7 linked regions of the Neurospora crassa OR74A genome follow. The protein of the gene in region 1 interacts with the protein of each later gene in a biochemical or structural test. Links are inferred from orthologs where the notes say so. Each region holds a gene or a part of one and is shown in the gene's direction. Other genes may lie near its edges.

Region 1 (4,132 bases):
GTTGTCATGGAACCGACTATGGGAAGGGCCACAGAGCAAACGAGTTCTCGAGTCTTGTAGAGTTGCCTTGGGTTGTGTGTACTTGTTTCATTTCAAAGACGCAAGTCATTACCACGCAAAGAAAGCCGTTGGCTCGTTGGTTCTGGATGAGTGGAAAAATGCATTCCAACTCTTACGATAGAGCCTAGGCCAGACGAGTACATAAGTACTCAAGATCAATGAGTGAGAAGGATTGCGAACGGCAACCAGGCACCTGCATTGAACTTGGTTCACTACACGCATTGACAATAAAAAGTATCATGTACACCAATCTGATGACGTTCAGGGTTGTCATTTGATCATGGGATGTCACAACCCGAGCCGAATGGGTGTATTGAACGGACCGTAAGGACGATTCCCGCATTTGCGAAGACGGGAGTTGTAGGCGTGACTGCGCGGGAGTCCCCGGGATCCCGTGCAGGAGGTGATGCCGGCCCCGGTCTCACCCGAGGTGGTTGGCAGGCCTAGTAGCGGGCAGGGCGGAACTCGTCACTTGGCTCCAGGAGTTTGTGATGTTGTGCTGCACAGCTTACCTCCCTCTACTGTACATATTACACTCGTGCGTAAAGGACCCAGCATTCTGATCGATGATGGTAACTCGCGATACTATGGATCATGCGTGAACGGAGGCTAGAGACCGTCAATAGCGGAGCGACCCTCCTAAAGTGCGGGGCGGTGGAGCCAAGAAAGAGGCCACGATAATGCTGGGCGATAACGGGAGGAACGGAGTCACGACATCATCGGTCGGGGGCTGGTGGGAACCCTTATGGCCAGGCACTGCAGTCAGGAGGTCTCCCATCTGTCACCGGTCTTGAATCCTTACCGGCGTCAACAGCCACGGTCGGTCGGAAAGCCGATAGAAAAGCGAAAGAGAATACCTGGTAATAGCTCCCCGTTCCCGTCCGGTTCAGTTGTCGGTGTCCCGCCATGAACACGGAGAACTAACGAAGCTCATCGTCGCACCAGACGGAGCGCTTACCTCAGCAGCCTTTGCAAAGGTCGGTGGAAGAACCAACCGTGAGTCCGTGACACCAGCTGAGCATTCTGTGGTTTACAGTGCCAGCTGACTCGCCCCTTTACTGTCTGGAGCTGAAACGATGCCTGGCCGGGATGCACCTCCCGTCCGGTTGTTCTTTCGTTCGACGACCAACACCTCGACCCCTTTGGTGACACTCTTTGTGGTGTTGGTTAAAGACAAAGTCACAGGTCTCTTTGATTTTATATACTCATCTTCATGTCTTCTGGTCATTTCCTCCATTGCTGGAAAATTGCGATCCAACCGTTCACTCTTCCCTGTTTGCCTCTCGGTGCCCTCGATCGGACCACGTCATTGACCGCTCACTTCGTTGGGGGGTTCGCTTATCAAATGCGGGGAACCAGCAAGGTGCACGTCGGTATTCCATGATGCCAGCTGGACTGCTGCTGTGTGAAGCATCGAGCAAGAGGCCATCAACAACCTGATAGAGGGAACAATTATAATAACATGGAGAGAAGCTTGTCAAGATGCTGGCAAAGTAACGAGAAGTCGAGATGGCACTCTCGGATTTGTAAACAACTGAAACTCGAAGGTCCGTCGTCCAGCCACATGCAGATCATTCTTTGGCTTATTCATCCAGAGAGAACCTAACTGAAGCAGGGCAAACAGCCCGGCTGAGGTGACTGACGCATTGACGGGCAAACGGCTGGGTGAGTGCCCGCCACTGCAGAAGGCGTTGACAGTGCGATCAATCAGCCGCGGTCACTGTTGGGGGGGATGTCCAACCACTCCTGCCAACGGGCAACAGCCAACAGTCAAGGGGGAAACTGTCGTCTGACTGGCTTCTTCTCGCGCCTTCCCTCCACTTCTCTGTCACTCCCAACCGCCAAGTGGCTTGTGCGTGGCCTGTCAGTGAAGGTGAGTGACACACCACTCACACCGTGGCAGGCGTTGCAAACGGACCAGTGACGATCGACTTGGGACCTGGCACCTTTCCGCTTCCACTCCAGTCCCGTCACCTCTTCCCCTTCACTCAGCCCCCCCGCTTCGCTTCCCTTTCCAGGCAGTGGAAGCCTGGCCCCTCCAAGTTCGCCATCCTGATTCCTGCCACTTCCGCCGCAGCCAGCACCTGAACCTACTTATTTAATCCTCCCCGCCCATCTGCATCCCCGATTCCATTTCTTCCGCTTTCACCATCTCTCTCCATCGCCATCATCGCAGGAGTGTTCATCCACGCACATATCATTCCCGCCACTCGATTCTAGTCATTTCGCTTCATCCATCAACAGTCCATTCGTCCACTGCACAACCCCCATCATGCAGATTTTCGTCAAGACTTGTAAGTTATCGCACGCTCACCGCATCATCACTTTACCATCGATCGACCGATGCTAACTATCTCTTCGCAGTGACCGGCAAGACCATCACCCTCGAGGTCGAGTCGTCGGATACCATTGACAATGTCAAGCAAAAGATTCAGGACAAGGAGGGCATTCCCCCCGACCAGCAGCGCTTGATTTTTGCCGGCAAGCAGTTGGAGGATGGCCGCACCCTTTCCGACTACAACATCCAGAAGGAGTCTACCCTCCACCTTGTCCTCCGCCTGCGCGGTGGTATGCAAATCTTCGTCAAGACTCTTACCGGCAAGACCATCACCCTTGAGGTGGAATCGTCCGACACTATCGACAACGTCAAGCAAAAGATCCAAGACAAGGAGGGCATTCCTCCCGATCAGCAGCGTCTCATTTTCGCCGGCAAGCAGCTTGAAGACGGCCGCACTTTGAGCGACTACAACATTCAGAAGGAGTCTACCCTTCATCTCGTTCTTCGTCTACGCGGTGGTATGCAGATTTTCGTTAAGACGCTTACCGGCAAGACGATTACTCTCGAGGTTGAGTCTTCCGACACCATCGACAACGTAAAGCAAAAGATCCAGGACAAGGAGGGTATCCCACCTGATCAGCAGCGTCTCATTTTCGCTGGAAAGCAGCTCGAGGATGGTCGCACCCTCTCCGACTACAACATTCAGAAGGAGAGCACCCTGCACTTGGTGCTCCGTCTTCGTGGTGGTATGCAGATTTTCGTCAAGACCTTGACGGGCAAGACGATTACGCTGGAAGTCGAGTCTTCGGATACGATTGATAACGTGAAGCAAAAGATCCAGGACAAGGAGGGTATCCCGCCTGACCAGCAGCGTCTGATCTTTGCTGGTAAGCAGTTGGAGGATGGCCGGACCCTCTCTGATTACAACATTCAGAAGGAGAGCACTCTTCACTTGGTGCTGCGCCTCCGTGGCGGCCAGTAAGCGGATTGTCGTCTTTGTTTCTGATTCTTGATGACGAGCAAGGGTTCATTTGGGCGTTCAGCGTTTATTGGGTTACTTATTGCATCCATGGGTTGGGAAATGATGACAACCATGAAACAGGGCATATCTAGCCGAATCTAATGGCACACGCTTCATACATACAGCGATGCCATAATAAAGACTATATTTACGGTCTCAAACATGATGTCTCTTGGTGATTTGCTTGTGTCTCAATTCGTGAGCTTTTGTTATTCCCGTCAACCTGTCATCTGGTCAATTGGGGATGGAGTCGGACGTGTAAGTCAAGATGGTGGTGCAGTGGGTTGGTACACACCGTGCGAGGTGACCGTTGCGTGGCCGAAAGTGGCGCCCTTTTTTGGTGGACAAGATGCATCATACGTGAAAGATACGTACCGACCGCCGAGTTCAGTTCGCGCTAGTCCGGCCGTGGAGCCCTCCCTCCCCCCCTGTGAAGGACGATCCAACGTCCAACGTCCAACGTCAAGTTCGTAGTTGTGGAAGGTTGAATGTGAAGAGGACATCCGGAAGGACCTCTCATCCTCTCTAATCACCAGGGCAAGAACCATCACTGCATGGAGTTTGGGCACACATGAACCTGCAGAGATAGGCATCGGCGACTTGATTGACGTAAGGCCCGCGTCCAAGGTGTCTTAATCGACTCTTCATCTTCTTGATCCTTCTCTGTCCTTCTCTTGCTCTTCCACTCTTACAGTCAACGCAATACTCTCAATATTACACTTTCATCAGATTTTTCATCAAAGCATTGTTGTTTCTCGACCATCACAACAAGG
Region 2 (4,015 bases), on another chromosome or scaffold:
TTGGGCTGAGGCGGGTGACTTCGGGGAGAGGAGTAATTCGCGGTTGGACTGCAGATGAAGACATGGTGATACTGCGGTTATGCTTGTGATCTGTTTTCAGATGTTGATATGGGATCTTGGAAAGGCGAGATAGCCGAGTATTAAATGATGATGAAGTTCGATACAATGATGGCCTGGTTGAGAGTCCCAGGAGCGGGATGACAGGTGAGGACATCCAGGACCAGGAGTAGTACGGGCAAAAAATGAACGACACACAGGAAGTAGTGACAATTCCGAATGAGAACCTTACTTGGTGTGAAACACGGTGGGATATTGCGTCCTGGTGAGGTGGGAGTACCGCGTATAGAGAGAGAGAGAGCTAGTTAACAGACTGCGGGGTACTGCCGAGCCGAGGCGTCGGCAATGATACCATCGCACATAATCAATGTCCGGCTACCACCCACGCAAGCTCCGAAGATCACCTGGCGAATCGGCCATATGAGCCGGACTCGGGGTGGATGGTTTGCTGGCCGGGCTCGCCAAGTTCAAGTCCGTTGTGAGAACGTGTTGCAAGTGGTGGCCTAAAGAATCCCTTTTCTGTTGATACCACATCTCCCAGGAACGCAACCTTTTTGATGGTGTTTGCGTGCTTGTCCGAATCGCTTCAATTTCTTGACATACTTAGCTATAACTGATGAGTTTAGAGACTGTATCAACGGCTTGTTGTCTGCGTGGATTTTGTCATGACAGGGGCATTTGACACACAGCTACATCATCGGTCACAATGAATCGATACAGACGATAGAGGATACCTCTAGATGTGCTGCCAACCCTTTGGACCATGAAGCACGGAAGAGAGCCGAATCAGCCTCCAGAAAGTTCTGATTTTCTGAAGTCTAGCTTCTCAAATGACGATGGCTCGCGCTGGAGGTTGCCTTGTCGTTGGGAGAATTGATTGTGAAGTGAAATGCAGGCCTGGCAGACACCTCGGTTGAGATGTACAGAGATCCTCAGACTCCGTCTCAGGTACCTCGCTGCACGCTCTGTATGAGTGCTACGGGCCAATCAGACACAACGAAGAGTTACATACCTAGGTACTTATATGCGTTGAAAAGGTTCCACCCTTTGGTTCTGTCCCCTTTCTCGTTATCGATAAGCCTTGCGTAGGTAGCGTTCGATAAGCCGTTCATGTCGCTGCCGTCCATGCAAGTGCAGTTGGCGTCCATTGATTGATTGCCCATGTTGACGCCGCGGAAATCGGATGGAGATTCCAACCCCGAACAACTTCAAACCCATCTTGCTTCGGGAGAACCAACACAACCAGAGAAGATCCCTGTTGCTACTTTACCGGCTTTGTACACGTTGCTTTGATAGACGGTAAGACGGAAATCACCAGCAAATGTTGCCAATAGAAAAAGCGCGACCGTTAATTGACGTGCATCGCTGCTAACAAGTCCTCTTATTCCAGGTACTTGGACCGAACCGCCGGGAACTGTGCTCTTTCCCGAGCGGAACGCGATTTGCCGGCCTCGCCACGACCCTTACAAGCCATCTCAACTGGTGAAAAGCCAGGCTCAATAAAGCCAATTCTGCAGCTAGATTCACCCATTGTTTCGATTCTTACGAGCCGAAAGTCCAGGAACATCATCCCCAGCGTCTGAAGCAACACTCGTCCTCGTTGCTAACCCGGTCACGGACCGCTCCAACCACTGCGGATTCGAACACAGCTCCTCCCCTTCAGAACTACTAGCACACACGGGCTTCACATTTGGGGCTTTCGACGAGCGAACAATCACATCACCATGTCGGCCAACGCTGCGTCCTCCAAGGACCACAAGGTCAAGGAGCCCCAGCCCGGCCAGCCAATGTATGGATGTGGTAAGATGGCCCATTCTTGTCCCTGCTACACGGCCTTATTTTCTAACCTCTTCTAGAGCATGTCGGCCGTCTCTTTAACCAAGATCAAGCGACGATCAACATGTCCATACAACATTACAAGACCATTCTGCGAGCCATCTTCGACATCAACCCTATCCTGTCACACACGGCCAAGGGCGTAGATGGCCAGGTTGTAACATCCATTACCCCAACCTACCTCTGTCTGCAATGCCCCTCGACTCTCACCGACGATGACCTTACAAAACACGGCAACAAAAAATCACATCGCTTCTGTACGTTCGCTGCCTCTGCCAGAAGGAGCCAAATCATGGGGCAAGGAAACTGACAGTTGTAATCAGATGTTGAGTCGAGGAGCGGAGCGGTGTATTGCCAAATGTGTGATGATATTGTGTGGGACCCTACCTTTGAGGATTTGAGGTTAAAGAAGCTCGGCACAGGGTCGTTTTTCGGTAGTATGTTTTTCTGTCCTTTTCTCCGTCTTACCCATGGGGGCTTATGCCCGGTACCTTCTCCTATGTCGATGAGCCTTGGCTGTTACTAATCTGTATTTCTATCACAGGCCGAAAGCGTAAACATGAGGAACTCTTCGCCCCTGATCCCGTAAAAGACGCTCCCCAGTATATATCGACCAACACCACCCTCGCCACCTGCAAGGCTAACGGTCTCCGTGGTATCTATAATGCCGGAGCAACTTGCTATCAAAACGTTGTCCTCCAATCATTCCTCCACAATCCCATACTACGCAACTTCTACCTGAGTGATGGGCATCAGTCAGGCAGTTGCGACACACCCCATTGCCTCAGTTGTGCCATGGACGATATGTTCCAGGAATTTTATGCCAGCGAAACGACGAACGGTTATACCGCCGCAAATATCTTGTCCGGATTCTGGATCAGCGAGAACAAGGCGTTTGAGAACTTGGTAGCCAACAAGGAGCAAGATGCTCATGAGTTTTTCCAGTTCATGGCTGAGGAATTACACGAGAGAAATGGCGACGGCAAGAGACCGGAAATTGGCAGTGAGCATACCTGCAACTGCATCATCCACCAAACATACTACGGAAAGTTACAGACGTCCACAACGTGCCAAAACTGTGGGGGCGTCACCAATCAAGCCCAGAGCTTTTTGGATCTCAGTGTTCCCTTGGAAAATTTGACGCAAAAAAGGGGCAAGAAGAACTTGACGAATGGCGACGGGGTCGCATCGACAAGAACGCAAAACAGCGTGACTCTCCAGGAATGCTTGGACGAAGAATACATCAAATCCGATAAGTGCGAGTATCGGTGTCAGAACTGCAATTCAGTACAGCAAGCAAGAAGACAGACCAGTATCAAGAAATTACCCAACGTTCTTTCTATCCAGCTCAAGGTCAGATTACCGGAATCCTTCCTCATGCACATTCCTTACTGGCCGTTACCGCTGGCTTCGCTTGGAGACAACAGAAGCTGACAGTTGCCAACAGAGGTTCGAGTTCAAACAAGGGCGTAATGATCGTGCCCAGAAGATCGAGACACCTGTCCAGTTTCCTTTACAACTCAACATGCTGCCTTATACGACACGCGCACGAACACAGGATCTCAAAGATAACTACGAGCTACAGCGGTCCTGCACTTACGATCTTCTATGCGTTGTTGTGCACGTTGGCGACATGGATACCGGACACTACATTTCTTATTGCCGGGTTGGCGACCAGGTGAGTCTGACTAGTGAACCATGACACACATCTAGTTCCTGAAGGGTTAGACTTGCTGACCCGCTGCCTTTGGCACATTTATTTAAGTGGTTCGCATTTAACGATCACAAAGTTGAACTGGCCCAGAAGTCTGATGTGCTAAACGCAAAGGCCTATCTTCTCTTTTACATTGTTCGGTCCCTGTCTTGAGCTCGGATAAACGGTGTACGAGTAGGGGCAAGTAAGCAGCAAATATTTTTTTCCTGTGTATGATGTTGTTTCCAGTAAACACGTGCCAGATGGCTCATTTACGTTTTGTACACTACTTGATCTTTTTGCGGCGTTCAAGGAAGCATATTTTGCCGGCGTATTTTGGATTTGCCTTTGTTCATGGAGCGTACATGGAGAGGATTCACATAGACATAACTCAGGCCAAAGCATGGGCCTGGATTTTTAGAGAATGGA
Region 3 (4,242 bases), on another chromosome or scaffold:
ACATCGACACCCGCTGAACGGCTCCCATGCCCAGCGGACCCCGACCTGAAATGAACGATCCACCAAGCGCCCAAATGTCAAGAGGGAAAACCCGGGATATGACGCTATCTACACGTGCGGTTACAGTAGATCGCTGATGAATGCCCGGGTTTGCCGGTCGGGACCAGCTGGCTGCTGTTTCTTGATTGATTGATGGGAAAGTTGGGCGTGAAGAAGAGCCCAAGTTGACTGTCACAATTAAGCCACAATTACGGCCAATCAATAGATACTGTGTAACAAAGTGAAAGTTGCGCTTTCGAGGTACTTATTCAGGTGCTATGCCGTACCAGCAGCGCTCGAGATGCGGCTGGGCTGTGCTTGCTCCTGCACGATCTCACTCTTTCGGGTTCAATTTGGACAAGAATCCTTCGTTCCTGCGCCAGTACCTTGCTTCGATGTTGTTGGTCGGTCATTGGGGTTGACCTGAACCCTCGAAATGCGCTGCGGTTATTCCAAATAAAAGCTAGGTACATACACCTCCAGCGCTGGGAGGTTACGTACCTGTTCTTGGGGTTTCAAATTGTAAGGTACGAACAAGGTGTTCATTTGTCCTCGGGTCAATAGTGCACTTCCTACCTACGCTTGATTTGATCTCGAATGGATTTTCCGTGGACATTGCAATTACATAAATATACATTTTGGTGATAGCATCCATGAAGATCGCGGTGTCTTCGCGACCGCTTCGTTGCATCGTCTAAATTCCCCCAAATTCAGCGAACCCCCCCACCCCCCCGAACACACACCCCCCGGACCGGCTCCTTTAAACGAGCACTTGGGTCCACGACTTGGACATAGAGTAATTTCCAACGTCTCCCTTGGCTCGACCATTTCGACCGCAACTCCAGACTCTTGATCACGATAAAGGTCAAATTCCTCGCAGGGTCACCGCAGCCGCGCGTGCTCGCTGTCGTCGACATCTTCCCGACGTTCCCTCGCTCGAAATTACAGGCTACCTATCCGTAGGTACCATACAGGAGGGCCTTGGCCGGCCGCAATCCTACGCGCAAGCGGGCATACCTACAGTGCTTGCTTCAGCGGCTACCCCTTGCTTCAGGAGCACCCGTACACTCTAGAAGAGCTTCCATCCTCGTTCACCTTCTGCCCGGCAGCCGCAGCGCCGCACCCCCGTCACCCGTCACCAACCCAGCGTCACCCGCTCTCACACGCTGCTGCCGCCGCCGCCGCCGCCGCTCGCTCCTTGATTCCATTTCCTACCGGACACACACACACCCCCCCTTCCCCGGCAGAACCAAGACTTGTGATACCACACCACCAGCCACCATTCGCACCACGGCGCCTTTCGTTTTCCCCAATTCCTTTCTTCGCAACAGCAACTCCCTTGCGTCGGTTCATGTCGGCTGCCATCCAAAGGGCATCATACGAGCAGATTTCCCGCAGCAGCCATGGGCTTCCTCGGCGTCTATAGGGCCATTTACGATTACACGCCCCAGGGCGAGGGCGAGTTGACAATCTCCGAGGGCGACATTCTCTATGTGTTGGAAAAGAGTCAGGAGGACGATTGGTGGAAGGCGAAGAAGAAGGCCAATGCTGCCGACGATGACGAGCCCGTCGGCTTGATCCCCAACAACTACATTGAGGAGGTATGTAATGTGGTCCGAGGTCTAGATCTGGATTGCGTGCAGTGTCATCTGGGCACTTGTACCTGCTTGGAGGATAGCAAGCTGGCTGGCCTTGGCATTCAGATGGATCACTTGAACTGACCGCGCACACCATGACGCCAGGCGAAACCCGTATCATACGCTCGCGCGCTCTACGAGTACACGCGTCAGACCGACGAAGAGCTCTCCTTCCCCGAGGATGCGCAGCTCTCAGTCTTCGACACTTCCGACCCCGATTGGATCCTTGTTGGCCACGATGGCGACTACGGCTTCGCGCCCGCCAACTACATCGAGTTGGGCGATGGCCAGGCTGGCCAGGTCGAGGAGGAGGAAGAAGCGACTGCCCCCCCTCCTCCTCTTCCGCAGAGGACACCCAGCGTCAGCGTCGATGTAGCCAGCCCGCCCCTGCCCGCCAGGAGTGTGCCCTCCGAGCCAAGCACCCCTGTCGCCGCTTCCAACCCTGCTGCCGCCGCCATCGCCGGAGTTATGGCCAACCGCTCTTCTTTCCAACCTCCAGCGCCTATCAGTGTTCCCCAGCCCCAGCGACAGTCATACGCTTCGGAAGATTACGAAAATGAGGTAAGGTCCCCGCCGCTTCCGAGCCGCCCGCGGGGCGATTCGCAAATTGCTCCGGAGCAAAAATCCTACAGACCGGTGCCGCCGCCCGCTCAGTCAGCAGCCCACGACACCGACGACTATGGCATTAGCCCGCGAACCTCCCAGGCTCCTCCTCCTCAGACCGCCGCGCTTACCCCTGGCGGTTTCCACATGTACAACATCAACGAGATGACGTCGGTGATGGGCAAGAAGAAGAAGATGCCTACCACGCTGGGCATCAACCTGAGGACGGGAATGATTCTCATAGCGCCGGAACATTCCCACGACGGTCCATCGCAGGAATGGCGGGCCGATTGCATGACACACTACTCTCGGGAGGGCAAGCACGTGTTTATGGAGCTCGTACGACCAAGCAAGAGCGTTGACTTTCATGCGGGCGCCAAGGACACCGCTGAAGAGATCGTCGCGATGCTGGGCGACATGGCCGGAACTGTGCGCCTCGAGGGACTCAAGGAGATCATTGCCGCGGGAGCCGGAGGCAAGAAGAAGAAGGGTGCTGTGCTGTATGATTTTATGGCTCAGGGTGAGGACGAGGTTACTGTCGGCGTTGGTGATGAGGTAGTTATTCTCGACGATACCAAGAGTGACGAGTGGTGGATGGTGCGTCGCGTCAAGAACGGCAAGGAGGGTGTGGTTCCCAGCAGCTACATTGAGATCAACGGCGTGTGGGAAGAGCCGGAGACGGCCGTTACCGGTATTGCCGTGGGCATGTCGGAAGTCGAGAAGAACCGCCTGGAAGAGGCGCGCTTAACCAAGGAGGCTATCAAGGCTGCCCAGCGCGAGGAAGAGAAGGAGAAGCAGAAGAGGAACTCTGAGGTAGGCCCAGGATTGCAATTGCAAGAACGAAATAGTAGTTTGCCGGCCACAGATGATAACAGGAGAGGAAAACAGCGAAGCAGTAGGCGCGAACCCGGTCAGAACAGCAGCTCCAAGTCGTCAAGCAAGTCGAGTAAGTACACCCATGTCCAGATTTTCTTTCAGAGTATGCAGAATACTGACAGTTTGTCGCAGAGCCCGATCCTTCCAAAGTGCGAACATGGACCGATCGATCCAAGTCCTTCAGCGTTGAGGCCCAGTTCCTCGGTGTCAAGGATGGCAAGATCAGGCTCCACAAGATGAACGGTGTGCAGATCGCCGTGCCCGTCTCGAAGATGTCAGTTGAGGATCTCGAGTACGTGGAGCGCGTAACTGGCGAATCTCTCGACGAAGACAAGCCCCTATCCGATCTTAGGAACAAGCGATCCGCCGGTGAGTCTTCGAGGTCTAGTCGATCGACGCGCGACAGGGAAAGAGACCGTGGTTCCAGCTCCCGGGTTGGCGCCACCATCGATTCCTCGAAGAAGCCCGACTACGACTGGTTTAACTTCTTCCTTGGTTGTGACATACAGGTTGGTTTGTGCGAACGGTATTCTCAAGCTTTCCTGCGGGAGGCTATCGACGAAAGTGTCTTGCCAGATGTTGATGCTACTGTGCTGAGGAACTTGGGCTTGCGTGAAGGTGATATTATCAAGGTCATGCGGTACCTGGACAACAAGTACATGCGGAACAAGAAAGGCGAAGAGGGCGAGGGAGGACTCTTCTCTGGGCCAGGAGGTGCGCTCCGCAACAACACGAAGAAGGGCAGGCCGGCGCCCCCCGTCGAGGTCAGCAACACCGTTGATCCCAACGCTTTCTCTAAGGACTCGGGTGCTGGTAGTGGCAAGTCATCATCTCCTACGGCTGCGGCTACGCCAACACCGTCTGCCTCGAAGCCTTCCAGTGGCTTTGATGATGATGCTTGGGATGTCAAGCCTACCAAGACGAAAACCCCTGAGCCGGCTGCGCAAGCCGTTGCTCCCGCTCCTGCGGCGGCACCCGCTGCCGCTCCAGCCCCTGCTGCGCCAGCTCTGGTTGACGCGCCGGCCCCCCCTCCGCCGGCGGCTCTTACCAAGTCGATGCAGGAGTTGTCGTTGCTTACCCAGCCTTT
Region 4 (4,169 bases), on another chromosome or scaffold:
GATAAGGACATCCAGGAAGAGGTCAAGAAGGCGCTCGAGAACACATCCCACCTCATTACGCAAAAGCACGGCATCGACGAACAGGCCCAGCACGAGTACGTTGAAAAGATTGTCAGGCGCATCAGCAACCCTCACCTGGAGGATGCCGTCGAGCGCGTGGGCCGTGCTCCCCTACGGAAGCTGTCCCGCAAGGAGCGGTTCATCGGCCCCGCAGCCGAGCTTGCCGAACACGGTAAGGACTGCAGCGCTCTGCTCGATGCTGCTGAGATGGCGTTCCGCTTCCAGAACGTCGAGGGCGACGAGGAGTCGGCCGAACTTGCTAAGATCATGGCGAGCAACAAGCCCGAGGACGTTGTCAAGCAGGTCTGCGGCTTGAACGAGCAGGAGAAGCTGTTCCCCAAGGTGGTCGAGGTTGTACAGCGCGTACAGGCCGACTTGCACGACGACTAGATGGAGCATTTCTGTCAACTTGTGTGTTTTGTATCCATTCTTACTTCATGTCTTATGATAAATGAGCGAAGACTTTACGGATAGGGAATAGGGCAACGGTGTCGTGGACCCTCGGAATCCGGAGAATATGGCGTTCATTTGGTTGCTTTCTGGGATATCAACGCGGAGCATTATACAACTGGGATCAATGGCGTTTAGCCGGGATCATATTGACATCCTGGAGGTTTTGGGTTTCCCTTTTTTCTTCTTCATTATTGTCTCTGCGCAATCACTAGAAGCGCTTTGCAATGATAGATATAGTTCAAGTCAATAAGAAGTACTCACACTCAATTCTTCTCCATGTTCCAGTAACGTTGTCGTATGCAAAGTGCGTCGAACTTGATCACTGCTTCGAGCTTTTTCTTTGAGCCCATATTTGGTGATTGCTGATAATGTTTTTAAGTAACGATGAAAATGGATGGGAGTACCGACTTGACGACTGACCGTCATCGGTCGCGCCTCCTGTTGCGTCGCTGAGACCTTTTGGTTTTGAAATACTCGTATCTTGCAAATTTGCTCGTGTGTGACACTCCTCCAAAATGTGATTGGGAATTGAGTCGTTCACAAAGTGACCGTTGCGTTGGTCCAAGCCTTTTGGTTTTTGACGATCTCCAGTGGTCGACTTTGGACGTGGTTTGGCGATGGTGATGGCTTCAAACACTGAATGCACCGACGGTGAGGGGGGCGCCAAGAGATCCGCAAAGCTGTAGTGTTGGTCGTTGCCTTAGGCAGCAGCTGGCGAGCGCAGGAAGTGACAGTGGCCGGCAGCTGTGCCCACTTGACCGCCTGAGGGAGAGAGTGGCCCGAGCGGCGAGCAGACCACAGCCGCGAAATTGTGGGCGGCGGCCGGTCGAGATACGTGGCGGGCACCTCTACAACCGTCCGCTGTCATTTCCGGCCCGTCGCAATCAAGTGTCAAGGCCTCCGAAGCCTCTATTCCGAATCCTCGTACCGCCAACCACGTCCCCCCCCCTTCGGCGGACCAGATATCCAATACACCAAATACATATAACCACGATTGCACCACTTCCGATAGCTTCACCCCTGACGAACCCGACGGCGGCTTTCTTGCACGGTCAGGGACCATCTCCAGCATCCAGCACGCACCCCACCTGAAGCTTGGAAGCTCGAGAACCGTTACGACCGCCCCGTCCTCTAATTCCAACTTGTAAACACCACACACCACACACCACACACCCACCCCAAACTCGCCCAACATGAGGCTGGATGTCAAGGCAAGTTCGCACAGGCTTCGTGTCTGCACCACCATGGCCGTGTCACCGAGACCCAACAGAACAACCCGATTCTGCAACCTGGCGCACACTTGCACCTCCCTTAGCTTCGGCCTGGGATCTTCCAGTTGCCCCTATTCCGTCTGCTGTACCGGCACCTCGACGGCCAGCTCCATTGCGCCGACACGTCCATCATCACATCGCTGCCTCCAACTGGGCCATCTCTCATTAGAAAACACCTGCTAACATGCCTGTCAACATGCAGCGCCAGTTGTTTGCCCGCTCTGAGGTTCGTTACCTGTCCTCTTGACCCCCTGATTTCTCCGGTACCAAGCAGTCTTTCAACATTCAAGGTTCCCATTGCTCACCCATATCCCGCACATAGCGAGTCAAGGGCATCGACTTCCATCCTACCGAGCCATGGATTCTGAGTACGTCTGATTCGACTCGCGATACGATGGGAGGGGCCCTGAATTCTGACACTACTTTGGTGATTAGCGACCCTCTACAGCGGCCACGTCTATATCTGGTCATACGAGACACAACAAATCGTCAAGACCTTCGAGCTTACCGATGTCCCCGTCCGCGCTGGTCGCTTCATTGCGCGAAAGAACTGGATCATCTGTGGTTCCGATGACTTGTATGTTCGACATGGAACTTGGGCTAGAGCTAGACAGGAAGGCTGACCTGGAATCCCAGCCAAATTCGAGTCTACAACTACAACACGAGCGAAAAGATCACATCCTTCGAGGCGCATCCCGACTACATCAGAGCCATTTGCGTCCATCCTACACAACCCTTCGTCCTTACCGCCAGTGATGACATGACGATCAAGCTTTGGGATTGGGAGAAGGGATGGAAGAACGTGCGGGTATTCGAGGGCAACTCACGTATGGCGCCACCAGCCTGATACATCGAAGCAGAGCGCGCGTGCTAACAGAGCTTCAGACTACGTCATGTCCCTCGCCATCAACCCCAAAGATACCAACACCTTTGCTTCGGCATGTTTGGACAGGACAGTCAAGATCTGGAGCTTGGGTTCATCCACACCAAACTTCCAGCTTGAGGCGCACGAGACCAAGGGCGTCAACCACGTCGATTACTATCCCCACAGCGACAAACCCTATCTTCTCACAACTTCTGATGACGTGAGTTATATTGACATCTGCTGGCGCATAGGACTTCACAGCTGACTTTACTGGCACAGCGCACGGTGAAAGTGTGGGACTATACCACCAAGAGTTTGATCGCCACTCTTGAAGGCCACACCAACAACGTATCCTTTGCCTGCTACCACCCAGAGCTCCCTATTATTATCTCTGGTTCGGAAGACGTACGTCGATATTGCACCTGTCCACTCGCTCGCAGGCTATTACTAACCGTAACCGCAGGGCACGATAAGGATATGGAACGCCAACACCTACAGGTTCGAGCAATCGCTAAACTACGGCCTGGAGCGAGCATGGTGTGTGTCATATCAGAAGGGCAAGCAGGGTATTGCTGTTGGTTTCGATGATGGTTCGGTGGTCATCAAGCTTGGTCGGGAAGAGCCCGCTGTGTCGATGGATGGCTCCGGCAAGATCGTGTGGGCCAGGCACAATGAGGTTGTATCTGCCGTGATCAAGGGTGCTGGTGAGTTACAAAACGGAACATCGAGAGTGACTCCGAGCTAACAGGGATCAGATGCCGATATCAAGGACAACGAACCTATCACACTCACCACCAAGGAGCTTGGAACCGCCGAGGTGTACCCCCAAAGTCTCATCCACTCTCCCAATGGTCGGTTCGCTGCTATTTGCGGCGACGGCGAATACATCGTTTACACTGCGCTCGCCTGGAGAAACAAGGCATTCGGTCAAGCCCTCGACTTTGTGTGGGCTTCCAAGGAGTATTCCAGCACAAACGAGTTCGCCATTCGTGAGTCTCCCACCAGCGTCAAGATCTTCAAGAACTTCGAGAACAAGGTCGGCGGTCTCGACGTCCCATTTGCTGCCGACGGTCTTACCGGCGGTGTCCTCCTCGGTGTCAAGGGCCAAGGTGGCATTTCCTTCTACGACTGGCGGACGGGTGGACTTGTCAGACGCATTGAGGTGGAGCCAAAGCAGGTGTACTGGAGCGAGAGCGGCGAGCTGGTTGCTCTTGCCTGCGAAGATAGCACCTACGTCCTCAGGTTCTCGAGAGAGAACTATAACGAAGCGGTCCAGGCTGGTCTTGTCGAGGATGATGGTGTTGAGGCTGCGTTTGATGTCGTTACCGACATCAGCGAGAGTATCCGTTCGGCGGAGTGGTTGGGAGATGTCCTGATCTACACCAACAGCACCAACCGTCTAAACTACTTGGTTGGCGACCAGACTTACACCATCGCCCACTTCGACAAGCCCATGTACATCTTGGGTTACCTCCAGCGTGATGGCCGCGTCTACATCACCGATAAGGACCTTAATGTTA
Region 5 (3,973 bases), on another chromosome or scaffold:
CTCGTCAAGGCGCTCGCGCAGCACAGTGTTGGCAGCAATCTCGTTGGCGGTTTGGAAGATGCTCTGTCCCCAGTTGGGAGCGAGTGCGTTGGCCTGAAGAATCGGGCATTAGCATTTCTGGCATCCAATCATCCGCACGGGTAACCCTCTTCAAAGGAACACACACCTCCATAACAACATCACGAAGCTCTTCCTCCATTTCCTTCTCGGCACGCTGGAACCTTTGCCACAGATCATCGCCGATGCTTCCACGCTGCAAAAGAGAGCTGCAGGCGGCCTTGGCGGCGCGGATCTGGATAATACGGTGGATGTCTTCGACAGCGCGGCGCAGCAGAGCCGCCCGGAGCACACTTTCAGGAACTTTAGGTGCCTTTTCGGATCCGTTCTCGGGCTCCATGTGGAGGAGTGACAGGTAGACGTTGCGTTGGAGGTGAGGACCGAACCATGGTGCGAGGTTTGCGCTTTGCTCTGGAAGAATCAACATGGTTAGGCTTCTATCCAGAGAAGCATAGAAATTTCTGAGTAGGGGGTTGCATACGGGCTTTCCTCTTGCGGTAGATTGTGGAAAAGGTCATGAAGGTGCCCGTCAGGACAATCAGATAGGCGAAGGGGAGCACAAGCCCCCGCCAGTCGACGCTGAACATGTTTCGGGATGGAGTGTGTGTCAAATTGACGGACGAGAAATGATGTCTGTATTCTCTACTCTGGAAGAAAGCGAGCGACTAGAGTGAACCAAGAGGCGGTAGGTGGCGTGAGGATTGTCGTCGTGCAACTGAAGGTTGCCCGGTGATGGATGCGTTTGCCTTTTGCGGTTGTGTGAGTGATGGACACCGACGGCAATGTAATCGTGCTTCCCTTGGTTATCAAATGCAGTGCCCATGCCTGGAAAGAACACCTTGACAACTGCAACGGTGCAGCGCGGCAGGGGGAGCTTGACAATGGAATTTCGGCCCTTGGCGCGCGCTGGCTTCATCTGAGTGGCAGGGGCCCATGCCGCAAGTGGAAATCGATGCCTGCCGCGACAGCCCCTTTCTGTCACTCCCAAGTCTTTGAGGGGTGCGGGGCATTGCCGGGCCGGCATTGGGCTCTCTCTCTGACGTGGGACCGGGAGTTTCTTGGCTCTTCTGGAAACCCAGCAGGCATGCCTCGATTGCTCAGCACTTCCCAGCACGCCCCAGCACTCCCGCCGCCCAGGCACACGTATGACGAACGCCTGAAACTATCGTACAGCGTTGCGTGGAGCTCCCCGCCCTTCGATCAGGTCCCGTCTGCCGACCAACAATTCACCACCCGTATCCCGTCACCAGTTGTGCCTTTACCCCGAGTCCGAGGACCTGGCGTGACCTTGTAGATTTTGCGCAACAAGAAGCTTTATTCATAGATACCGCCCTACTTCCGACGCCTACGACACATTTTAAATTCAGATTCCGGATTATACTCGCCGAACGACAGGAACAGACCAGATCCGTCGGACCCTTTAACAGCCCAGACGTCACCTTTTTTTCAGCCCGCCCACGATGTTGTTGAGGGTACGCGGTCCCGATGGCATGCTCCGCCTGACATTGGAGAAAGATGACACCTTTGCGGATCTTGGCCGTCAACTCATTCCCAAGCTTCCCCCGACTGTTGACCCGAAAACAATTACATTCTCGAACCATCCGACCGGCAGCGACGCCAAGAATCTCAGCGAGGTCGCAAAGTTCAAGGTCGGCCAGACTGGGCTCAGGCAAGCTGACCCCTTGGAACTCTCGCGCTGATCTTGCGATTTATGTGCCAGACACTAACTAGCGACCTGAAAATAGCCATGGCGATCTTATTTTTGTCACCTACAAGCACAACGATGCGGCGACCGACGGCCCAGGCAACGGCGAAGCCACCAAATCCAGCGTGCTTTCATCCACGAACCGCCTCAACGGCAAACCGATCCTACCTGCAGAAGACTTGCCCATCGACCCGCCTCCGCTGACATCTCCGCATGAACATATCAAGAACCCGTGGGAAACGGTGAGGCAGTCGCCTCTGGACGATCGGCTAGACAAGCGTGACGGAAAGATCCCAAGGGGGCGCGATCATAAGATGTGTCGCCACGGGCCCAAGGGTATGTGCGATTACTGCATGCCCCTTGATCCGTTTAACGCAAAGTATCTCGAGGAAAAGAAAATCAAGTACATGTCAGTACACGCATACCTCCGCAAAATCAACTCTGCGACAAACAAGCCCGAGCTTGGGGCTTCGTTTATCCCCCCGCTTGTCGAACCCTATTACAGAGTCAAGCGGGACTGTCCATCCGGCCATCCTCAATGGCCCGAAGGTATCTGCACAAAATGCCAGCCCAGCGCCATCACTCTCCAGCCCCAGCCATTCAGAATGGTGGACCACGTCGAGTTCGCGACGCCCCAGATCATCGACAAGTTCCTCAATCCCTGGCGTATGACGGGATGTCAACGGCTTGGTATCCTCTACGGCAAATATCTCGAATACGATGTTGTTCCGCTTGGCGTCAAGGCTGTCGTGGAAGCCATCTACGAACCACCGCAGGTTGACGAGATCGACGGTGTTACTCTCAACGCGTGGGAAAACGAGAAGGATGTCAACGAAGTAGCAAGACTATGCGGACTGGAGCCTGTGGGTGTGATCTGGACGGATCTCCTGGACGCTGGCAAGGGTGACGGAAGTGCCATCTGCAAGAGACACAGCGATTCCTACTTCCTCGCGGCTCAGGAGATCTGCTTTGCGGCGAGGCTCCAGGCACAGCACCCAAAGCCTACCAAGTGGAGCGATACAGGCCGGTTCGGCTCCAACTTTGTCACTTGCGTCATCTCTGGCAATGAGCAGGGCGAGATTTCGATCTCGGCCTATCAGATGTCGAACGATGCGGTCGAGATGGTCAGGGCAGACATCATCGAACCTTCCACGGACCCCGGTCAAATGTTGGTGCGCGAAGAGGAGGAGGACGATGGCTCAGTCAGCAGGACGCGATACATCCCCGAGGTGTTCTATCGCAAGATCAACGAGTACGGAGCAAATGTCCAAGAGAATGCAAAGCCCGCATTTCCCGTCGAGTATCTCTTCGTCACCTTGACCCATGGTTTCCCTGAAAGTCCCCGGCCGGTATTCACGAATGACGGCTTCCCTATCGCCAATCGCGAATTTGTCGGAGAAGCCCAGGAAGCCTCATCAGTAGCAAAGATTCTTAAGGTGAACCAAAAGTCCGACCAATTCGACGTTAGCAACTTCCACTTGCTCTGCTTTATCCGGCAGATGAGCGTGCTGTCCAAGGTCAGCTCACCGTATTTCCACTTGGGTCCGACAGAATACTGACTCTTTCTCGTAGGATGAGGAGGCACTCCTTTGCCGCGTAGCAACACAACATGACCTTGCCGACGCCTTCCAACTCCGGGCGACAGAGGGGTGGAGGACCCTGCACATGATCTTGGAATCCACTGGTGAGAGACTTCCCAAGCGCCCCAGAACTGAGGATGCTAGTTTTCCCTCGGTTGACAGATCCTACCTCAGCCACCACCCATTGATGCAAAGGAATCACAACTCGACGGATGAACCACTTGCTAAGCGTTTTGCTGCTGTCAGGCTGAACGAACAACGCCCGCCACCGCCTCCACCTCCCGAATAGGATTCGATGGACGTGGACTGAGGATACGCATGGCTTAATAATGTCACCATCAACTCTGATCACAAGGCACGGAGCTGAGGGATCAGGTCCTTCAACAAAAGGCAACACAGGGTTTGGAGCTTCATCTGCGGCGAAACTTTCATTCTGGACCGACCTCGGCGAAACACATTGAGAACATACAATGGACGCATTGGCGTTGACTTTTGCTGCTTTGATGGAAAATAGACATGAACTGGGCATCAAATAAGACGAAAGGGGTTGAGTAATGGAAAAGATATCCTAGTCTAACAGTGCTGAAGATACTGCTCATGTCGCATTGTGGCTCATGAACATAGTTTCTGT
Region 6 (4,228 bases), on another chromosome or scaffold:
TCGCCTTCCTGGGGCAGACACTGGGGTCATATATTTCTGCTGCTGTGCCTCAGTGTCTGAGCCGTCCCGAACGGAAGTAACAGTGTCTGTTGGTTTTGGAAACATACCATAATGGTCTGAAGGAGAAGAACGGGTATGCATAGGTTTTGTATGTTGGCGTTTGGGATGGATCGGGAAAGCACTTGGAGGTTGTCTTATTGCAACGTCGGGCCTTGGTCTAAAGCTTAGATAGCCTATAGACCAAAGAATATAGGAGACGAATCAAACCTCTGTGTTGGAATTTGGCACGCTTGAAAGAGCTAATAGCAACTGAAAGAACGGCTACATGGTCTAGGTCTGTTTCCCATGGTGTTTTGGACAAGACGGCTTTCAAAGTATCTAGAATGCTTTGACTTTGTTGGCTCCCCGTAATCTTCTTACCTATTCATGTAGATGAGTTGAACAATGACAGCTGCATTCCGCATTTACGGCGAAGGAAAGTCACTGTCACATCCAGCGTTATACTAGTGATTCTAGGGTCCTTCCATGAAAAACGCCAACGAAGAATTAGTTATCATCTTCTTGTCATTCAGCCCGTTTCTGCTTCATTAGGTTGCGAGGTTACCTCTACATAGAAGTACCCCTTATGGTAGACTACATATGTAGTACAATGGTGCTGGTTTGTTTGTTAGCTTGGTACCTAGAGGTACTCCTGGTACACTGGACGAGATCTCCCGTCTTCCGAATTGTCCCAAACCGTACAAGGACTGAATGAAAGGCATGAACAAGATCCAATTCGTTCTCTTTCATTTTGGAGAAATGGAAGCATATTCCCAGTCTGAAAACGCATAGTCTAAGAGGTAGCTATAGGGACGGGAAGTTGATCCAAAGACCCGCGGGAGCTAACAATCGAACCAGTATTGCCTACAGTGCAGTAAATCATGTCCCGCCAAAAGCACTAAATGTAAGTAACGTCCCGAAATACCCCGCCAACCTGTGAACTCCAGGAGCTCCATGCAGTAGGCTTGTTCGGGGCAGGCAGGCTCCACGTCACATTCACAGATGTCAACGTAATCTTGTCAGCGCAAAAGGTGCATGGGAATTGCTACTTCCTCCTGATCACTATCCGAGGGCTTTCCGCTAGAGTATGCTAGAGTCATTCCTTATTACTACCTAACTTTGGCACCCGCACTATCACATACTACTGTGGTTAGCTCAAGAGCGAAGTACCAACCTTGAGCACCCGCAGCCGAAGACAACCTCCAGCTTCGGACAGTCACCTCCATCCTCCTTCTCCTCATCCTTCGCCTCAACCTCCCAACGCACATCCAGCTTTACGTCGTCACCGCCAGCTTGAGCCCTTCTTCTCCTTAGGCTCTCTCCGTCACGATAATCACAATATCCGTACATCCTTAATCCCTTTCCTCTTCGCCCAACGACGACGACAAGATGGATCCGAATCAGCAACAGCCGGCGGCCACGCCGGATGCGCCTGATAAAGAGACGATGGAGCAGATCCGTGCCCGACGACTGGCTAAGCTCGGTGGCCCCAATGTCGCTTCTACTACATCGCCAGCTGCGTCCTCTTCCACGCCTCAGCCTGGCACCGAAACCCCTCCCGCTGCTGCTGCTGTGGCGGCGGCGGCGGCGGCGGCGAGTTCGTCAAAGATCGAAGACAAGGCACCGCGAGTTCAGCCAAGGTCGATAATCAAGCCGGCGTCACGAGATGTGCCAGAGCCACCACCAGGTAGTTCCGCTTCCCGAAAGAGAGAAAGATCCCTTTCAAATATTGATGATATTCCATGCCCACCAGCACCGCGAAAGCAATACAGGGAACAGACGCTCGAGGAATGGACCGACAAGCTACTCACCAGCATCCTTCGCGTGTCTCTCGATCCGAACCAGACCTTCGATAGCAGTGGCCATAACTTGACCTTTCTGCCAGAACTCAGCCAGGAAATTCGGGGCGAGTATCAGGAGCCCTTGCTGTCGATCGACCGATTTCAAGAGGCCGTTATGGAGGCCGGAAGGATCTATCCGCCGCACAAGCCCCTATTCGAATACTTCCTGGCATGCTGGAAGCGGGTCACCAGATATAGGATATTGAGGGCGTCGACTCCTGAGAAGGAAGAAGCCCTCAAGGAGGCCAAGCGCTTGTGCTTCTCGAACTGCATCTTCGCCGTTACTATGCCCGAGATGTTTGGGTATTTATCCCCCGTGTCCTCTTTACAGTTTGCTCTAGCTGACATGATCCAAATTTGAAAAGTCGAGAACCAAACCCAAAGCACGATACCATAGTCCCCTACATTTTGGAAGGTGTTGCGAAGGAAGAAGGCCTCGACATCGAGTTTTACAACGAGGCCATGACACGGATCGAGGACGACGATAGCATTGTACCTCTCTTCACCAAGGCCATGGTGGAAATCAGCACAGCGCTGTCTACCAAAAACATGAACGGCGATTATCAGCCGCACGTCCAGGTGAGTTTGACAAGCGACTTGAACGAATTGTGCTGAGCGTTGACGTTGGAACCTCACAGGCCCTCTTCACATACTCGAGATATCCGGCTCTCGTGAACGCTTTGGCGGAACACCCTACTTTCCTTATGGCGCAATCAGCCCCCAACATTGAACGGTTCACGCTGCTCGGGCCATTCTTCCGCCTGTCGCCCTTACACCCAGAGGCGGCCAGTTACGACTTTGCCGCACCAAGGACTCTTGACAAGGGCCGAATTGGCACAACCCAACAATCGTTACAAATGACGTTGGCTGCCCATCAGGAACACTTGACGACGATAGCTAATGCCTTCATACGAGCAAGCACTAGCTCGAGAAACAAGCTCCTGGACTGGTTCGCCTACATCATGAATGTCAACCATAAGCGCACAGCCACTTATGTCGACCCCAAGACCGTTTCGTCGGACGGCTTCATGGTCAATGTCACTGTCGTCCTCGACAATCTATGCAAGCCTTTCATGGATAACTCCTTTACCAAGATTGACCGTATTCAGGTCGACTACTTCAGGCGGAAGCCCAGATTGGACATCAAGGAAGAGACCAAGCTCAACGCTGACCAAGAGCACTCGGACGCGTTTTACTCTACAAAACTCGAAGGGGAGAACAACTTTATAACAGAGGTCTTCTTCCTCGCTTTGGCGGCACATCAGTATGGCACCGAAGCCACCCAAAACAAGCTAAAGGAACTTGACAAGCAAATTAAGCATTTCCAAAAGAACTTGACCCTTATGGAGGCTGACCGTCCCAACATTGTCGCCAATCATCCGGAACGAGTACCTATGCTAGAGGCGGCGCAGAGGAGACTGATCAAGATGCTGGAGAGCGCCATGTCGGCCAAATTTGCCATCGAAGGCATTATGACCGACAAGACGCTGCAAACGCGGTCACTACAGTTCATGAAGTACACGATTGTGTGGCTACTGCGAGTAGCCAGTCAGTCCGACTACGTCCCATGGAAGAAAATCAGCCTTCCGCTGCCTGAAACTCAGCCAGAAGCTTTCAGGTGTCTTCCCGAGTATGTTCTGCAGGTAATTGTTGATAACTTGAAGTTCACCTTCCGCCATAGGCCAGAGGTCATGGTCTCGGCCATTGGTGACGAGGTCGTTGCTCTATGCATAACGTTTCTGGAATCCTCCGAGTACATCAAGAACCCGTACTTGAAATCGTCGCTGGTTACCCTCCTTTATCAGGGCACCTGGCCGGCATACCATCTTAAAAAGGGCATTCTTGGCGACATCCTTACCGGCACCAAGTTCGCGAATGACTACCTGCTACATGCTGTGATGAAGTACTATATTGAGTGCGAGTCGAATGGTACCAGTTCCGCGTTCTACGAAAAGTTCAACATACGTTTTGAGATCTTCCAGGTTATCAAGTGCGTCTGGACCAATGACCATTACAAGAAGCAGTTGACAGAGTCCAGCAGGTCAGTATATGTTTTGTCCTACGATCTCTTTGCTGAATCCGACTAACTCGACCTAGGGTGGACCGCGACTTCTTCGTTCGTTTTGTCAATCTTCTCATGAACGATGCAACATACGTTCTGGATGAAGCATTGAGCAACTTCCCCAAGATCCATGACTTCCAGCAAAAGCTAAAGGACCCCAGTCTTTCGCAAGAGGATCGCGAAAAGATGGAGAGCGATTTACACGACGCGGAAAACAAGGCCAGTTCCTATATGCAGCTTGCGAACGAGACAGTCGGCATGATGAAGCTCTTCACCCAAACCCTGG
Region 7 (3,394 bases), on another chromosome or scaffold:
CGGCTGAGGCGGCGGGGTTGATGTTGATGGTTCCGCCAGCTTTGGAAGAGAGGTCTTGCCCTTCGATTTCCGAGTCGGCGAGGAAGTGGACGGATTTTTTGTCCTTCGCAGAGCCACCACCGGCTGTCGTTGGTTGAGCACCGTCGTCGTCTTCCAAATCGCCAAACATGTCTACCTCGTCATCTTCATCGGCATCTTTCCCTGCCCCGTTGGAAGGCTTGTTGTAATTATCCATCATCTCGGCCAGATCCACGTCCTCGGCGTCTTTGCCCTTCTTGCGGCTCTTCCCTCGGGCTTCCGCGCGGTCTTCCAGGTTGTCATTGTCGGAATCGGAATCGTACCCATCGATGTTGACCGCGCCGCGCTTGGTGGCTCGGGAAAGCCCACCGATCACGTCGGCGGCAAGAACCTCCTCGTCAGCTTCGTCGAGGTCGTCATCGTGCGCTGAGGGCGCGAGCGCGGAGGGGTTGCGCACGTCGAACTTGACTTTTTTGTGGGACGGCCCGCTGGAGGTGTCGTCGTCGTCGTTGGAGCGCGATTCGCCGTGGTGGGCGCGGGCGTAAGCTTCGCTGGCGCGTTTGGGGCGCGCGGCGGAGAAGCGGGAGGACATGGTGGTGGCTGTTGTCTTCAATCTCGTGTGTTGGTGTGTAGGCGTTGACGTCAGCGTGTAAAGGTTATGTCGTCTTGATAGAATGGCCTATTCTGCCCCTGTATCGCAGACTTTGTGTAGATATGGCCTGAAATGATGACTGTTTTGCCTGGGTCGACGGCGAATGACAACTCTACAAGTAGAGGATGGTGTTTAAGAGAGGATCTAGATGGCGAATTGGGAATATCAAGGAAGAACATCACTAGAGGTACCTTACCCGTTGTCAGCCCCAACGGATAACATGGAGCTCTCCACTGCCATCAAGGTCCAGAGCGTTCTGCAGTGGACAGGCAGCGCTCAAGGTACCTTTGACCTAAGCGTTTAAGAAGGGGGGGAGCTCGCGCCACGGCAGCACGGTTTCACAGATCTGACGCCACGGCGGCACCTTCTCACCCCGCCAATCCGGGCCGCCGAGGCGGCAGATACATAGAGGTAGGTACTGTACGGTACCCATGCCAGGGCTCCAATTATTACCTAACGTGCCTGTAACTTTCGGGCCCAGTTATGTCATCTGCGTTGTTGCCTTTGGAACCTTCCACGCGGTCAGGTTATTTCAACATCGTCGCAACCTCCCTTTCACTATCGCTTGTCACGCTCTGCTGTTCCGGATCCCACTACCTATTCTGCGAAGCTTACCTCGAGATCTCCCCTCTTAATACAAATTCCCTGTCGTTTCCCTTTCTGCAAAATACTTTACTCCATCTCTAGCAGCTCCCTCGCGATCATGGTAAGCTATCCTTGTCCTCACGCTCGATTATCAAGACAGCTTTTCGACCCCTCTATCTCTTGAAACATTCTAACATGTGCCCATGACAGTATGGAGACATCTACAGTCGCGCCACTGGTCGCTCTCGGGGCGCGCAACGCTTCGATGAGTACTACCGCTGCTACCCCCTTGTCATGGCGCCCGGTGCCGAACGACCTGAACTCAACTACGGCTCCAAGATTCTGCTCCCGCCCTCCGCTCTCGACAAGGTTTCGCGACTACACGTCCAATGGCCCATCATGCTAGAGCTTATCAACGGCTCGCAGGGCACCCACACACACGCCGGTGTTCTGGAGTTCGTGGCTGAGGAGGGCAGGGCCTACATCCCGCAGTGGATGATGCAGACCCTCAAGCTCGACGTGGGCGACATGATTCAGATCAAGACGACATCTCTCGAGCTTGCCAGGCTTGTCAAGCTCCAACCGCAATCGGTCAACTTCCTCGACATCAGCGACCCTCGTGCCGTCCTCGAAAAGGCCTTCCGGAACTTTGCGGCGCTGACCAAGGGCGACGTTTTCAACTTTGAGTACAACGATGAGATCTACGAAATGGCGGTACTGGACGTCAAGCCGGAGACGGCCAAGATGGGTGTCTGCATGATCGAGACAGACGTCAGCGTCGATTTTGCGCCGCCAGTTGGCTACGTCGAGCCTTCGCGACAGACACAAGGCAGTGGTACCAGCACACCACGCAACGGAAGGGCTGTTGGCGGAGGACTTCCGGCGGGTGGTCTTTTGCACAACCAGGGAACCATGGCGCAGGCTATCAACTACGATGCCATCGCACCAGGAGCCACCACCACGTCGGTGGGCAACTTTCAAGGTGAGGGTCTGCGGTTGGCGGCGAAGAAGGGTAGCAAGACGGGAACACCGAAGCCGGCGACGCCGGTGGCGGGTACGTCGACCAACGTTAAGGACGTGGTGCTGCCCAGGAGGAAAAACAACAACGGCCCGTTGCCGTTGCGTCTGCCGCCCAACAAGCTCTTCTTGGGCTACGAGATCAAGCCTGTCAAAACTGCCGCAGATAAGGAGAGGGAGGCGGCGGCGGCGAAGCAGCCGCACTTTGCGGGCCAGGGACAGACGCTCCGGGGAGGAGTCCCGAAGAAGAAGAGCAGCGATGGTGACGACAAGGCGGCGCAAGGCGAGAAGAAGCCGACAGAGAGCAAGGGAAGGCGACTTGACGGCAGGAATGTCTAGGGACAAACTTTCGTTCAACAAGCTTGTTACTAGATGGTTTGATGCATTGTCGGGCGTTAATGGGAAACAGGGTCATGGGAAAGGGAGGTTCACAGTCAAGGGATCACGGAACGTTTGTAGCGTCATTACGAATACACATGGACAGGCCACGATGCGTTTCAAGATAGAAAAGGGCTGTATATGGGATGTTGAGTGCTGAACCGCACGATGTTTACATAGGCCCATGCAGCTGACTAGAATTAGTGAAAAAGGAAATGATACCTCGATGTCCTCCTATAGCTGGAACATGCCAAGGTGATGTTCAACAAGGTCCGCTGGCTCAATGGCAGAGCGTCTGACTACGAATCAGGAGGTTCCAGGTTCGACCCCTGGGTGGATCGAGTTATCTTTTCTTTTGCCAGCATAGTATGCTGCGGCGTCACCAATTTATTTAAAAAAAAAAAAAAAAATTTTAAATTTTTTTTTTCTTTTTGTTCTCTTTTTGATCCCTTGAAATGCCGGAATTTGACTTTGGTGCAAGATGGACATGATACAAAGAGTCCCTGGTTTTTTTTCTTTTTTTTCCTCATTGTGGACGGTGCATCGAGAGCGGCTTGGTCCGTCTTGTCTTTATCTTGAGCAGTCGCTTTGTCAGTGTCATGCCAGGAAGGTCCGGAGTTCTGCCTGCATCCACTTCGAGGTCTCTCCTTCCAGAATTTTGCATCCTTAAAGATTAGTCATATGTCAACGATGCTTGGAACGAATATAGTCGACAACATCAACAGCATGACATTGAGTTCTGAT

Evidence for each region.
Region 2: of the proteins of ubi (region 1) and NCU02375, one has a biochemical effect on the other in vitro, tested with the Saccharomyces cerevisiae proteins (3 studies listed by BioGRID, with this or other methods). The link is inferred for Neurospora crassa OR74A from reciprocal best matches to the Saccharomyces cerevisiae genes UBI4 and UBP8.
Region 3: the proteins of ubi (region 1) and NCU02978 form a complex in vitro, tested with the Saccharomyces cerevisiae proteins (3 studies listed by BioGRID, with this or other methods). The link is inferred for Neurospora crassa OR74A from reciprocal best matches to the Saccharomyces cerevisiae genes UBI4 and SLA1.
Region 4: the proteins of ubi (region 1) and NCU07319 form a complex in vitro, tested with the Saccharomyces cerevisiae proteins (2 studies listed by BioGRID). The link is inferred for Neurospora crassa OR74A from reciprocal best matches to the Saccharomyces cerevisiae genes UBI4 and SEC27.
Region 5: the proteins of ubi (region 1) and NCU02680 form a complex in vitro, tested with the Saccharomyces cerevisiae proteins (5 studies listed by BioGRID, with this or other methods). The link is inferred for Neurospora crassa OR74A from reciprocal best matches to the Saccharomyces cerevisiae genes UBI4 and NPL4.
Region 6: the proteins of ubi (region 1) and NCU03357 form a complex in vitro, tested with the Saccharomyces cerevisiae proteins (3 studies listed by BioGRID, with this or other methods). The link is inferred for Neurospora crassa OR74A from reciprocal best matches to the Saccharomyces cerevisiae genes UBI4 and UFD2.
Region 7: the proteins of ubi (region 1) and NCU06856 form a complex in vitro, tested with the Saccharomyces cerevisiae proteins (3 studies listed by BioGRID). The link is inferred for Neurospora crassa OR74A from reciprocal best matches to the Saccharomyces cerevisiae genes UBI4 and UFD1.

What each region holds. Positions count from the first base shown.
Region 1 is NC_026506.1:3,143,712-3,147,843, forward strand, and holds ubi (ubiquitin), read left to right. Parts: upstream 1-1,332; 5' UTR 1,333-1,607; intron 1,608-1,675; 5' UTR 1,676-2,332; coding exon 2,333-2,354; intron 2,355-2,424; coding exon 2,425-3,320; 3' UTR 3,321-3,872; downstream 3,873-4,132. UniProt on the Saccharomyces cerevisiae protein: Ubiquitin exists either covalently attached to another protein, or free (unanchored).
Region 2 is NC_026507.1:2,712,481-2,716,495, forward strand, and holds the start of NCU02375 (ubiquitin carboxyl-terminal hydrolase 2), read left to right. Parts: upstream 1-1,215; 5' UTR 1,216-1,356; intron 1,357-1,447; 5' UTR 1,448-1,781; coding exon 1,782-1,857; intron 1,858-1,913; coding exon 1,914-2,150; intron 2,151-2,216; coding exon 2,217-2,330; intron 2,331-2,437; coding exon 2,438-3,246; intron 3,247-3,340; coding exon 3,341-3,571; intron 3,572-3,658; coding exon 3,659-3,760; 3' UTR 3,761-4,015. Other genes in the region: NCU02376 (metallo-beta-lactamase domain-containing protein), read right to left, coding at 1-214. UniProt on the Saccharomyces cerevisiae protein: Histone deubiquitinating enzyme component of the transcription coactivator SAGA complex. SAGA acts as a general cofactor required for essentially all RNA polymerase II transcription.
Region 3 is NC_026501.1:8,519,939-8,524,180, forward strand, and holds the start of NCU02978 (cytoskeleton assembly control protein SLA1p), read left to right. Parts: upstream 1-1,442; coding exon 1,443-1,640; intron 1,641-1,781; coding exon 1,782-3,225; intron 3,226-3,287; coding exon 3,288-4,242. UniProt on the Saccharomyces cerevisiae protein: Component of the PAN1 actin cytoskeleton-regulatory complex required for the internalization of endosomes during actin-coupled endocytosis. The complex links the site of endocytosis to the cell membrane-associated actin cytoskeleton.
Region 4 is NC_026504.1:4,379,350-4,383,518, reverse strand, and holds the start of NCU07319 (coatomer beta' subunit), read left to right. Parts: upstream 1-1,369; 5' UTR 1,370-1,706; coding exon 1,707-1,724; intron 1,725-1,986; coding exon 1,987-2,010; intron 2,011-2,106; coding exon 2,107-2,152; intron 2,153-2,219; coding exon 2,220-2,361; intron 2,362-2,420; coding exon 2,421-2,611; intron 2,612-2,669; coding exon 2,670-2,869; intron 2,870-2,928; coding exon 2,929-3,054; intron 3,055-3,112; coding exon 3,113-3,353; intron 3,354-3,404; coding exon 3,405-4,169. Other genes in the region: NCU07318 (mannitol-1-phosphate 5-dehydrogenase), read left to right, coding at 1-450. UniProt on the Saccharomyces cerevisiae protein: The coatomer is a cytosolic protein complex that binds to dilysine motifs and reversibly associates with Golgi non-clathrin-coated vesicles, which further mediate biosynthetic protein transport from the ER, via the Golgi up to the trans Golgi network.
Region 5 is NC_026501.1:3,179,548-3,183,520, reverse strand, and holds the start of NCU02680 (nuclear protein localization protein 4), read left to right. Parts: upstream 1-1,173; 5' UTR 1,174-1,517; coding exon 1,518-1,726; intron 1,727-1,802; coding exon 1,803-3,279; intron 3,280-3,334; coding exon 3,335-3,446; intron 3,447-3,516; coding exon 3,517-3,530; 3' UTR 3,531-3,588; coding exon of another isoform or gene 3,589-3,593; 3' UTR 3,594-3,973. Other genes in the region: NCU02681 (translocation protein), read right to left, coding at 1-93, 167-468, 539-644. UniProt on the Saccharomyces cerevisiae protein: Substrate-recruiting cofactor of the CDC48-NPL4-UFD1 segregase. Assists CDC48 in the dislocation of misfolded, polyubiquitinated ERAD substrates that are subsequently delivered to the proteasome for degradation.
Region 6 is NC_026502.1:987,965-992,192, reverse strand, and holds the start of NCU03357 (ubiquitin conjugation factor E4), read left to right. Parts: upstream 1-1,428; coding exon 1,429-2,183; intron 2,184-2,245; coding exon 2,246-2,459; intron 2,460-2,518; coding exon 2,519-3,921; intron 3,922-3,977; coding exon 3,978-4,228. UniProt on the Saccharomyces cerevisiae protein: E4 ubiquitin chain-elongation enzyme specifically involved in polyubiquitin chain assembly.
Region 7 is NC_026502.1:1,742,314-1,745,707, reverse strand, and holds NCU06856 (ubiquitin fusion degradation protein), read left to right. Parts: upstream 1-1,155; 5' UTR 1,156-1,373; coding exon 1,374-1,376; intron 1,377-1,465; coding exon 1,466-2,611; 3' UTR 2,612-2,894; downstream 2,895-3,394. Other genes in the region: NCU06855 (hypothetical protein), read right to left, coding at 1-610. UniProt on the Saccharomyces cerevisiae protein: Functions at a post-ubiquitation step in the ubiquitin fusion degradation (UFD) pathway. Has a role in the endoplasmic reticulum-associated degradation (ERAD) pathway.